3 linked regions of the Nothobranchius furzeri genome follow. The protein of the gene in region 2 purifies or fractionates together with the protein of the main gene of each other region. This does not show direct contact. Links are inferred from orthologs where the notes say so. Each region holds a gene or a part of one and is shown on either strand. Other genes may lie near its edges. The genes, in order: arcn1b, copb2 and copz1.

The links.
Region 1: the proteins of copb2 (region 2) and arcn1b fractionate together in Homo sapiens (co-fractionation; 5 studies listed by BioGRID and IntAct, with this or other methods). This does not show direct contact. The link is inferred for Nothobranchius furzeri from reciprocal best matches to the Homo sapiens genes COPB2 and ARCN1.
Region 3: the proteins of copb2 (region 2) and copz1 fractionate together in Homo sapiens (co-fractionation; 6 studies listed by BioGRID and IntAct, with this or other methods). This does not show direct contact. The link is inferred for Nothobranchius furzeri from reciprocal best matches to the Homo sapiens genes COPB2 and COPZ1.

What each region holds. Positions count from the first base shown.
Region 1 is NC_091753.1:20,850,728-20,854,305, forward strand, and holds part of arcn1b (archain 1b), read left to right. Parts: intron 1-816; coding exon 817-982; intron 983-3,578. UniProt on the Homo sapiens protein: Component of the coatomer, a cytosolic protein complex that binds to dilysine motifs and reversibly associates with Golgi non-clathrin-coated vesicles, which further mediate biosynthetic protein transport from the ER, via the Golgi up to the trans Golgi network.
Region 2 is NC_091751.1:58,296,284-58,300,476, reverse strand, and holds the start of copb2 (coatomer subunit beta'), read left to right. Parts: upstream 1-1,379; 5' UTR 1,380-1,508; coding exon 1,509-1,511; intron 1,512-1,895; coding exon 1,896-2,033; intron 2,034-2,146; coding exon 2,147-2,233; intron 2,234-2,590; coding exon 2,591-2,717; intron 2,718-2,839; coding exon 2,840-2,988; intron 2,989-3,180; coding exon 3,181-3,327; intron 3,328-3,556; coding exon 3,557-3,656; intron 3,657-3,748; coding exon 3,749-3,891; intron 3,892-4,027; coding exon 4,028-4,193. Other genes in the region: retinol-binding protein 2-like, read left to right, coding at 26-76. UniProt on the Homo sapiens protein: The coatomer is a cytosolic protein complex that binds to dilysine motifs and reversibly associates with Golgi non-clathrin-coated vesicles, which further mediate biosynthetic protein transport from the ER, via the Golgi up to the trans Golgi network.
Region 3 is NC_091755.1:25,754,976-25,759,335, reverse strand, and holds the start of copz1 (coatomer subunit zeta-1), read left to right. Parts: upstream 1-1,548; 5' UTR 1,549-1,661; coding exon 1,662-1,679; intron 1,680-2,094; coding exon 2,095-2,163; intron 2,164-3,599; coding exon 3,600-3,681; intron 3,682-3,760; coding exon 3,761-3,852; intron 3,853-3,978; coding exon 3,979-4,034; intron 4,035-4,129; coding exon 4,130-4,207; intron 4,208-4,284; coding exon 4,285-4,336; intron 4,337-4,360. UniProt on the Homo sapiens protein: The coatomer is a cytosolic protein complex that binds to dilysine motifs and reversibly associates with Golgi non-clathrin-coated vesicles, which further mediate biosynthetic protein transport from the ER, via the Golgi up to the trans Golgi network.

The sequences.
Region 1 (3,578 bases), on a different chromosome or scaffold from region 2:
GCTAACATATCAAGCTAACGTTATCTTAAACAGTTTAACTGCTGGAGCAGATTAAAACGATGATGCCTCACACTTAGATCGTTGTCACTGGTTTCATCTTCACCCAATCACCCGTCGCATTTAGTAAAGTGAAGCCAAACTTTAGAGCGTGTTCATGTTCTTCTAGTCGGAATTTCGGAGTTCCGAGGAGAAAGCGAACGCACCATTAGTGAAACGGAAGCTAACAAATCAAGCTAACGGTATCTTAAACATTTTATTTACCTACCAGAGCAGATTAAGATGAGGATGTCTCACTTAGATCGTTGTCGCTGGTTTCATCATCACCCAGTTAGCCATCACATTTAGTGAAGTGGACCCAAGCGTTAGCGTGCCTTCTTTCTACCATGCTGCTCTGTTTACAACTCGCTCGCAGCGACCAACGACATAACGCTCTTGCACATGCGCAGCTGTCTTAGCAAGTTCTCGTTGTGAAGGACGGGCACCGAAACGAGGCACCGTTTGAAATGACGTGAATCGGTGCTCGGTCGGTACTGTGGAATTCGATCGGTACCTTAAAAAGTACCGAATTTGGTACCCATCCTGATTTTAATGCTTTCTTTTGGGTTTTACAGCTTCTCAAAGTTTGTGGATTTTCACATATTAGCAGAAACACCAACGTTGCCCTGTAGCTGGAGATTACCACACTGAAGTTATAAAAAGAGACCCTGATCTGATGCTGGAGCTTACATCTGGATGTCCATGATATAATGTTGTTTTTATTTAAACCCGACTGCTTTGATCTTTATTTACATCTGTGTGGCTGTGTTTTCTGCTCAGCGTACACCTGCGTGTGGAGGAGAAGATCTCGCTGACCTGTGGCCGTGATGGTGGCCTGCAGAACATGGAAGTGCTTGGCATGGTGACGCTTCGGGTCACAGATGACAAAAACGGACGCATCCGCCTCATTATCAACAACAATGACAACAAAGGACTACAGCTGCAGGTAAACATAGTTTAGTGCTTGGTCCTTTAGCCTTTTGTTTGAGCTTAACTTGAGCAAATTATGGGATGGTTGTAGTGCTGACAGATTTGCTGATCACCATAGAGATTAACTAGATGCCTTAATGGAGTGGATTTGTCATTAAGGCCTAGTCCACACGTAGCCGGATAAATACGTTGTTAAGGACATGCCAGACCTGTAGGCGGCAGTACTTCTCCCGTTCTTAACCTCGTCCTTCCTCTGTGGTCTTCCGCAAGGAGCAGTAATTCCGCTTGCAAAAACAAACAAGCAAAAAGCGCTTGGACAATTGATAAAGCGAGCGCAGCTCTGAGGACATCCATGCTGTCGGCTAGTGTAAACACAGGTCGCACACGTGATGTCAGCATTTTTTTGTCGCGGAAAGTGACGTTGCGGACCTTAAAACTCCGGTTTTGTCCGTCCACACGCAGACACCCAAAACGGAGAAAACGCAGATCTTCACTTCGGCCGGAGTTTTTAAAAAGATCCGTTTTCGTGTGGATGACAGGCCAAAATGTAGTAAAATATCTACGTTTTTGCAGATCCCCGGCTACATGTGGACAGGGCCTAAAGCTGCAATCCAGAGTTTTCCCCCTTTCAGGAGTTCTGTAGGATTTTTTTTATCCGTAAAAGTGATGTAATGTAGGTCAATGATTCCCCCCCCCCCAGTCCTACAGAGCCCCATGCTATTTGAATTGAGCGTTCAGCATTAGCCAAAGGGATACTAATCTGCTGTGCATGAGCAGGGACGTACCTGAACTGATGCAAAGTTGGAGGCAGTTCTATGGATGAGTAGGTGTTCAAATGTACACATATGAATAAACAGCACAACATGAGAAGAACATGAGCCATGTTTGCTGGCTAGATGTGTGCGTCCACAAACGAGAGGTGTTGCTTCCAGCCTTAGTCACTGAATTAGGGTGAGGCTTAAGGTGCAGTACATTTCTCTGCCTCTAGATGGTGTCCTCTGAGGAAAAACAACTTGCTTCTGGGACACACACTTTTTTTTCCACACTGGAGGTTAAAAGGACAATATGTAGTTTTTTTAATATCTGGAAATATCCAATAAATTGTTGTTGAAAATGAATGAAATGATGCCCAATTGTTGTAAAATATTATTGGCTTCTTAACATATAACCGTATAAATTAGGTCTAAAATACACAGGAGTGGGTCTAAGTCCCTGAGCGATGCCGTGCTTCCTTCTACAGGAGCCCATGAGGACAAAACACATTAACTGATTTACCGACAAACGGTTACTAAACTTTCACCGTTCATAAATGTTGTTTTACACCTTTACCTCTTCACTAGTTGCCGGTGATGAAAGGGAGTGCTTGTCATTTTGCTAAAGTTTGCACTCCCCAGAGCTTTTTTGACCCTAAAGGGCATCCGTAGGTAAGGTCTTACTCCACACAAAAATGCAGCTTGCTTGCAACTATTTAGGTATCTACTGCCCCCTATCGCCAGGAAAAATACACACTGTCACTTTAATGCTACTCTCTCTGTCTGTAGCACACATGCAGGTTGTGTGTTACTAATATCCTCTGATTTACTGAGGTAATAATGAATATATCAGGGTGTGTATTAACCTTGTGTCACAAGTAGCTGTTTGGCCTTTTCTCTTCACATTTATCTAATATGATCCAACTCACTATTTATTAGAAATGATTCATTTCTTTCAGTAAGTCGGGCTCGTTCCCAGTGAGAGTTGGACTCCGCCAAGGCTGCCCTTTGTCACCGATTCTGTTCATAACTTTAGTGGACAGGATTTCTAGGTGCAGCCAAGGTGTGGAGGGCAGCCATTTTGGAGGCCTGGGGATCAGGTCTGCTTTTTGTAGATAATGTGGTCCTCTTGGCTTCATCAGAACGTATCTACAGCTTTCGCCGGAGCGGTTCGCAGCCGAGTGTGAAGCAGCTGGGATGAGAATCAGCTCCTCTAAATCTGAGACCATGGTCTTGAGTCAGAAAAGGGTAGAATGCCTTCTCCGGGTCAGGGATGAGGTCCTGCCCCAAGTGGAGGAGTTTTAAGTATCTCGGGGTCTTGTTCACGAGTGAGGGACAACTGGAGCGTGAGATCGATAGGCAGATTGGTGCTGCATCTGCAGTGATGCGGGCGTTGTACCTGTCTGTCGTGGTGAAGAGAGCTGAGTCGGAAGGTGAAGCTCTCGATTTACCGGTCGATTTACGTTCCTACCCTCACCTATGGTCATGAGCTTTGGGTAGTGACCGAAAGAACGAGATCGCGTATACAAGTGGCCGAAATGAGTTTTCTCCGAAGAGTGGCTGGGCTCTCCCTTAGAGATAGGGTGAGAAGCTCGGTCATTCGGGAGGGGCTCGGAGTAGAACCGCCTCTCCTCCACATCGAGAGGAGCCAGTTGAGATGGCTCGCGTATCTGGTCAGGAAGCCTCCTGGACGCCTCCCTGGTGAGGTTTTCTGGGCACGTCCAACCGGGAGGAGACCTAAAGGTAGACCCAGGACACGGTGGAGGGACTATGTGTCTCTGCTGGCCAGGGAACACCTTGGGATTCCCCCGGAGGAGCTGGCCCAAGTGGCTGGGGAGAGGGAAGTCTGGGCCTCTCGCC
Region 2 (4,193 bases):
AATACTGAGAGTTTTTGTTTCACAGGAGCTGACATGTGAAGATGTGATTTGTGTTCAAGTGTTCAAAAGAAAATAATAGCGTCTGTCCTTATTGTCACTAGGTTGATAAAAAATAGAATCTACATGTTTTCCAAGCATTTTGAATCAATAAATGATCTTTAATTATTCATTGTGTTGTATTTTATTTGTTAGCGTGCAAATCCCTCATTCTGTCAAGGCAACAACACATGTGTTTGGAATAATTTAGAAGAGTTTTGCTTCTAGTTTAACTTTAAAAACCCAGTTCCTTTTTCTGCTTTTACTCATCTTCCTCATCATCCTTAATTTTATTATTCCCAAGAGGACAAAATGGAAGATTAACATTTTTTACAGCTTAATTAAGATAAGGAGGCTGAAATATTTTCTTCTAAATGGGTCACGGGTTCGATTCCAGCTCCCGCCAGGTGTATCCTGCTGTCGTGTCCTTGGGCAAGACACTTCACCCAACTTGCCTGTGTTAGTGGTGGTCAGAGGGGCCGACGGCGCCAAATGGCAGCCTCGCCTCTGTCAGACCTCCCCAGGGCGGCTGTGGCTACAAGTAGCTTACCATCACTAGCAGTGTGTGAATGTGAGAGTGTGTGAAAGCGTCTTTGGGTGTCTTGAAAGCGCTATATAAGTTCAATGCATTATTATTATTATTATTAAAAAAATAAAAAAAAGTACCCGCGTTCAGACACTGGAGGGCAGCAACTCCCCATCTCCCCGTCTTTTATAAATGCTGTTGGAAACCAAAGTGTTGTTCTGTTGTTTTGCCAGTAGAGGGCACAAGTTCTCCGTTCTGTCAAGGCAACAAAACATTTTATTTGGAAGAATTTAGAGAAAGTGTTTTTACTAAGTAACAATTTAAATTAAAAAATCCTGTTCCTTCTTCTGCTTCTACTCATCCTTCTTCTCATCCTTAATAGTAATACTCCCAAGAAGATTAAGATAAGGAAGCTGTGTCCAGGACGAACCAAGACCCCCAACCTTTACCCTCATGAACACATCAAAAGTGAATAATTACAAGCTTTATACAGGCATACTAAGATATACTTCTTATGCAGAGTTTTGATTATACGATTTGGTGTGTTTTGGGGCTTTTATACATTTAACTTTTGAAAATATAATCTTGGTAATCCCACACCCCACTGTAATCTTTGGGTTTCACGGATCCCAGGTTGCGAACCACTGAGTTAGAATAAATATTAAAATTACAAGCTTAAATATTGTTTAAAAAATGTCCATGTAATTCAGTAACTTTATTTGAGTTACAACAGCAACTTGCAACCTACAAAAAATAAAAAAATAAAAAAATAACTTGCAACCTACAAGCTTCCATGTCACGTCAGCAGTTCCAACACAGTTCTCGCGAGATTTCGTTTCAGGAAGTTCCACGTCAGTGTCCTGCAGAACGCTGCTCACTGAAATCGCAACATTTGGACTCGATTGGACGTTAATCGGATCTAGCAAAGACATCCAGGGCGGAAAATATGGTAAGCTGTAGTTTAGAAAGTTATAAGTGTGCTTCTTTTCGATAAATGTCACCCGAGATTCAGTTTAATCTTTAAACAAAAAGAATGAAATGCTTAAAAGAGCCTAGCGGCTAACTAGCTTAAGTTTGCATAGAATATTGTCTCTCAAACACGTTTAAACCTAAATGTTAATGTCACATATATCTATCCTTATTTTTCAACGAATTAGTCACAGATGAATGTGTGACTGATCAACTGAAATAGCGAAAAAAACAGTTTTAATTTCATTTGTTTCTGATGATTGATACATTGGTGTTAAGTTGACGTTCTGCTACTACTAGCTAACAGCAACAAAGTACAGTTTGAATAGTGTCTATTAACACATTGGGTTTATTTTTATTTAAGCCTCTGAGGCTGGACATCAAGAGGAGGCTAACAGCCAGGTCGGACCGGGTCAAGAGTGTGGATCTTCACCCAACCGAGCCATGGATGTTGGCCAGTTTGTACAACGGCAGTGTCTGTGTGTGGAACCACGAAACGCAAGTATGGAATACACCCAAAGAGTAAAACCTTTGATCTGTGCACCATATAAACAAACAAATATGTGAAAAACATCTATAAAAATCACAATCAAAGTCGATCTGTTTTTATTCCAGACTCTGGTCAAGACGTTTGAAGTGTGTGACCTGCCTGTCAGAGCTTCCAAGTTTGTGGCAAGAAAGAACTGGGTGATCACAGGAGCAGTGAGTCACAGGAATTTATTTGTTTTGAGCCTACACCTCTAAAAGCTTCTGTAATATATATATATATATATATATATATATATATATATATATGTATATATATATATATATATATATATATATGTATATATATATATATATATATATGTATATATATATATATATATATATGTATATATATATGTATATATATATATATATGTATATATATATGTATATATATATATATATGTATATATATATGTATATTAGTGTAAAACTGCTATTTGATGTTATTTTAGAGTTAAAACTTTTACTAGAAAACTTAGGAAAAACTACACTTTTCTACTTTATTCATAATTTCTTTTCTCTTCACAGGATGACATGCAGATCCGTGTGTTCAACTACAACACCTTGGAGCGGGTCCACATGTTTGAAGCCCACTCTGACTACATCCGTTGCATTGCTGTCCATCCAACTCAGCCATACATCCTCACTAGCAGTGGTACACTATTTACCCTACTAAACCTATATTTTCTACAGCTTTAAATGCAGCTGTGGCTCTGATTAGGCTTATGTATCCTTTTTTTGGGCACTTGAGCGTGATTGTGTTTTATCTTTGTGCAGACGACATGCTGATCAAGCTTTGGGATTGGGAGAAAAAGTGGACATGCAGTCAGGTGTTTGAGGGTCACACTCATTACGTCATGCAGATCGTCATCAACCCCAAGGACAACAACCAGTTTGCGAGCGCTTCTCTGGACAGAACCATAAAGGTAGATTTTTCTGTTTGTGCAAATGGATAAATGGAATGTAAAACTGTATATAAGTGTAGATTATTGTTTTTAATGAATGTGTGTAAGATCAACAGCTCCTTTATATTTGATTTGGTGCAAAGGAGTCAGTGGTAAGAAGCGTACTGTGTCTGATTATTTTTGTACAGTTCTCTCTCTCTTTGTGTTGTACAGGTTTGGCAGCTGGGCTCCTCATCTCCTAATTTCACTCTGGAGGGTCACGAAAAGGGAGTAAACTGTATTGACTACTACAGTGGAGGAGACAAGCCCTATCTGATATCAGGGGCTGATGACCGCCAAGTCAAAATTTGGGACTACCAGGTTAGAGAAGTTTTATTTGGTTATAGTTATAGTGGCATGTACACAGAATTTAAAGTAAGTCACCAAATGGGGAAAACTGCATTAATTTGAAAAAGTACAGACTATTTGTTTTATCTCGCATTAGAAAAAGCCCAAGTTAGGTATGGTGATTTTATTTTTTGGTCTTTGTAAGTTTTATCTAGCATTTCCTCTACATACATTTATATCCCTCTTTCTCTGTGTGTTGTAGAACAAGACTTGTGTTCAGACTCTGGAAGGTCATGCCCAAAATGTCTCGTGTGTCAGCTTCCACCCAGAACTACCCATAATCATCACGGGATCAGAGGATGGTGAGAAAAAATCTCCCTCAACCATAAAATCCACAGGAACGTCCTCTCCTTATGTTGTTGTTTTGTGCAATATCGTCGTCTTTCCTCTCCAGGTACGGTTCGAATCTGGCACTCGAGTACTTATCGCCTGGAAAGCACCCTGAACTACGGCATGGAACGAGTGTGGTGTGTGTGTGGCCTCAGGGGATCCAACAATGTGGCACTGGGATACGATGAAGGCAGCATCATCATCAAAGTGAGTAAAAGGAAGATTTAATCTAAAGTTGGATTAAACTAATGCCTCAAAATTAACTTTTTAAAAGAAATCCACATTAAAATGAAATAAACGGTAAAAGTAAAAATGTGTACGCTTGTTTTACTCTGCGGTGTAGGTTGGTCGGGAGGAGCCAGCCATGTCTATGGACACTAATGGCAAAATCATCTGGGCTAAGCACAGTGAAATACAGCAGGCTAACCTGAAGGCTATGGGGGATGCAGAAATCAAAGATGGGGAGAGACTGCCACTGGCTGTCAAAGACATGGGTAGCTGTGAGATTT
Region 3 (4,360 bases), on a different chromosome or scaffold from region 2:
TTTGAAAAATGACGTGACATCTGGGAACCAACTTCAGGGCGGCTTCCTCCTCGGTTTGGGGATTTTGAAATAGCTGTGATATTGTGCAACATTTCATGATTTTACAGTTCTGTTACAAATGTGTACAAACTAAGTTTGGATCTTCTAATTCCTCTCTACAAGCCAAGAGATCTCTTTCCATGATTATTTTGGAACTCAAGAGTAACAGAAGGTAACTGTAAGGCCACACAATGATGTAATTTGTGGATTGAGATAGAGGGAAATCCCCATCAGACTGCTTTTCCAAAAGTTTCCCAGAAGTGGGAAGTAAGATAATTGGAGGTGGTTAAATGTGGGAGGATCCTGTAAAAAAAGATGCTGATGAGAACGAGAAACATAAAACGGGTTGTAAATGGAGAGATTGCTCGTATGATGTTTTTCAATGCAGCAACCGCTGTGTGACACAGAGCTTCAGCTAATGAGTGGAGGAACCTTTAATTTTAAAGACAAAAGTTTTAGTTAGATATTGTTCTAATGATGCTTGAAAGGGTTCCTATGGACATCAAAAAGAAGGATTAGGTTCTAATTTTCTGGTTTAACAAAAGCAAGGAAATAAGATCATGATGTTAGAAAAACATATTTAGCTTTTTACGTTACAGAAATCAAGTTTGTGAAAACTTGATGAAAGAAAAAAGTTCAGTCTGAAATGCTAAACTTATAACTTTGTTGCAAAGCTACAGAATTGCATTTAATTTTTTAAACACTATCCTCCATTTACAAAAAGCAACAAAGTCAACAATGTTAAAGGTGAAACAATTTTAGTAAGCTTGTTAAACGGTGCTTATTGAGTGACAGTAAAATAAAATGCAGATTTGGATTTACGTTTATCATTTTGTGTCACATCATTGCAAAGTAAATGTTATGAAAGATTTTAAGACTTTAAAGTGACTTTCTTTTATTTTCCGTTATGTGACTTTTCAGCTTTTCGATTTATGGAGAAGAGGACAGCTATGGTTGCACCCTTTTCTGTAAAACCACATCCTTTTTTATATTGTTCATCAAAACATTAAACACGTTGCTCTTTAGTCTGCATTAGATGCATTGATGTACTCGAAGTTGCTACTAAATTGGGTACTATTATTTTGAATTAAAATGTTTTTATTTTTGATTGATAGTTTGATTGTAATAATCCAACACTGTATTCACAAATGCAGATTTTTATTTATGATTATTACAAAATGTACTAACTGGAATAATAACATAAGTGCATTTACAAAGTCCCTGAAACTGGTCAAGAATTAGTCAGTCATTTCTTTTGTCCACAGTTTGAAATATTTAATCTAAAATATTCAAATGTTCAATTTAAACACAAAGGCTATTCAGATTTGTTTTATGTTTTTATAACATTTATTTTTGTGCTTATTTTTCCCCAAATTTTTTTAACATTGAAGTTTATAATTTTATAAATTTTTGTTGTTCAAACTCCGTTCAATCTGTGCAGTTTTCAGGTAAAAAAAAAATTCACACATGATGAAGACTGTTTTGTCTATAAAGTTGTTAATAAAGTTTGTTTAAAAAAAGTCAACAGTGACGTAATCCTTGCTCTTACGCACGACGTAAGATGCTGGAATTGATTGTAGGCTAGTGTTAGCCGTGTAGCTGGTTTGCCAACAAGAAAGAAAATGGACTCGCCTATCCTGGTAATATCTAATTTATTTTTTCATGACGGCATAATGTTAGTGAAGCGTTTAACCTCGTAGTGTAAACATTTTTTTAAATTGTCTTCATAATTTAGGCGAAATGCTGCTTATTTAGCATCCTCCCGAGTTAACTTGACAGAGAGCTAACTACAGTGTTAGCTAACTAGTTAGCGTCGAGGAAGTATGTGTCCGTTTGTTGCTGATGTGGAAGTGTCATGTCCTCCACCTGACATGAACAAGAATACCGTCATGACAACATTTTTACAACCGTTTTTGATACATGTCTTAAGACTAAACGATCCTATTATGGCCTAATCACGGCCATTTTTCTTAAACTATCCTTCTTACTACAAACCTTAATTTCTAGTCCTTTATGTTTGTTTAAACACAACGCACTGTACTGCTGTCTTCACAGGAACCCTCTTTGTATACGGTCAAAGCTGTTCTGATTCTGGACAATGACGGAGACAGGCTTTATGCCAAGGTATGACTTTAATCCTGATTCATCTTTTTTACTTTAAATATTTTCTTCAAACACGCAAAGTCTGATTTAATGTCAATATTACAGCTTTTCACTTGGATTAGATCCCCCCAAAAGCAATAAGTTAATTATTCAACACACCTGATACATTTTCATAAATTTTTCATGACCTATTTAATAATAATAGATTTGAGCTGTACACAAACAGTTTTTAGATGTATTTGAAGGTGGTGATTGCAAAGCACTAAAAAAAAACACAGGAGTCTTTTGTGTAATTAGATAGAGAAATTTAATTAGACAAATTACAGGCGTTATTCCTTGGTCTGTTGGTCTGTTTAAAATTTAAGGTGTTCCTGATTTATATGGTTAACTATTTTAATTTTAATTTAATGTATTCATTTTTAAAATGTATCTTATTTACTTTTTATTGCTAAAAATGGTCAAAGCTGATGGCTCCTACCCCCACACCTTAAAGTTTTGTTTAAAAACAAGTTTATTTTTACTGACTCAGTATAATTCACATTATTCAATCCTTGTAATTTTATATCATAATTTTAAATATTGTTAATCATAGAAGCAAAGTTTTAAATGTAAAACTATGTTACTAGGTTTTAAATATGTTTGCTTCCGTAGTAGAAACCGTTTGGCTAACCCCGGCTTTCCACGGGAGCCGTCAGCAGCACGTTACTGCAGCAGCACGTCATAGCTGCTGATAGGAACCGCTGTGGTCAACAGAACCTTTTCCACCGGAGCCGCCGGCAGCCGTCAGCAGCGCGAGTCGGCCGCGTCTCAGGAGCAGCATGTCGCGGCCTTTACGCGCCGGTTCTATTTTCTACGCGCGACGCCTCTGAAACGGGTCAAGTTCGACATTTTTGGGGAAGGAAAGACAGGAAATCGAACGCGGAAATGGGGAGAAGCTCTCGAGATTTTCAGAATAAAGAACGTACTGCCTTCCGGTTGCTTTACTTTTAAAAACAGTTACTAACTGTGCGTCCCCGTGAGAAGTTATCACACAGCTAGTGGTCTCCTTTGTTTTTCAGGTCCGTATTGGCGATTATAAAACGGACAGAACATAAAACACAAACCATGTTGTAGTTTTCTCCTGCTTGTTGTTGTGTTTACTGACGAAGTCACTCGTGTGACTTCGTGCTCGGTCGGTGACAGCTGCTCCCCTGCTGCTTCGCGTCTCGTGGGAAGGGCCAAGCAGCAGCTTACGCGAGCAAGACGTGCTGCTGCAGTAACGTGCTGCTGACGGCTCCCGTGGAAACCCGGGGTTAGTGTCACAGAATCGATAGGGAAGTCAGACCTTTTAGAAACTTAATGTTTCCTATTTTAATGAAGAATATTTTACGTACCACATTATTTATATACTTTAATGTAAAATAATAGATTTATTTGAATTGTTTTAAAATGTACTTTTCTTCTTGGTGTGTCTGCAGTATTATGACGACACATATCCGACGGTGAAGGAGCAAAAGGCGTTTGAGAAGAACATATTCAACAAAACACACAGAACAGACAGTAAGCTAAGCATATTAAAGGTAATTGGTTTGCTTCAGTACATGACTAAAATGTGATGGTATTATTTGTTTGTTTGTAGGTGAGATTGCATTACTGGAAGGCCTAACTGTTGTCTACAAGAGCAATATAGATCTCTTCTTTTATGTCATCGGAAGTTCACATGAAAATGAGGTAAAACTGAAAGAACTTTCATGAAAAGTCAGCCTTTTCTTAATTATAGCAGATAAAACAGTCACATTTTAACTGCTAATATTTTCACATAATTACTATTTGTTGAAATTTGTTCTTTTTCAATAGCTTATGCTCATGGCTGTTCTAAACTGCCTATTTGATTCCCTCAGTCAGATGTTGAGGTATGTCTTGGTAGCAGTTTAGCACAAAATGTCAAATGTTTATAAACCATTAATCTCTCAGATTGGGATTGAGTTATTTCTCTTTAATTTTACAGAAAAAATGTTGAGAGGAGAGCTCTGTTGGAGAATATGGAGGGACTCTTCTTGGCTGTGGATGAAATAGTGGATGGGGGGTGAGTTTGAACCACCAATGATCTTTAACTAAAAACTTTTTCTTTATACTTACTGTGGTGTTTTGGGTTACTTACAGCGTGGTCCTGGAGAGCGACCCGCAGCAGGTTGTGCATCGCGTGGCTCTTCGAGTGAGTATTTCTCATCACAAATGT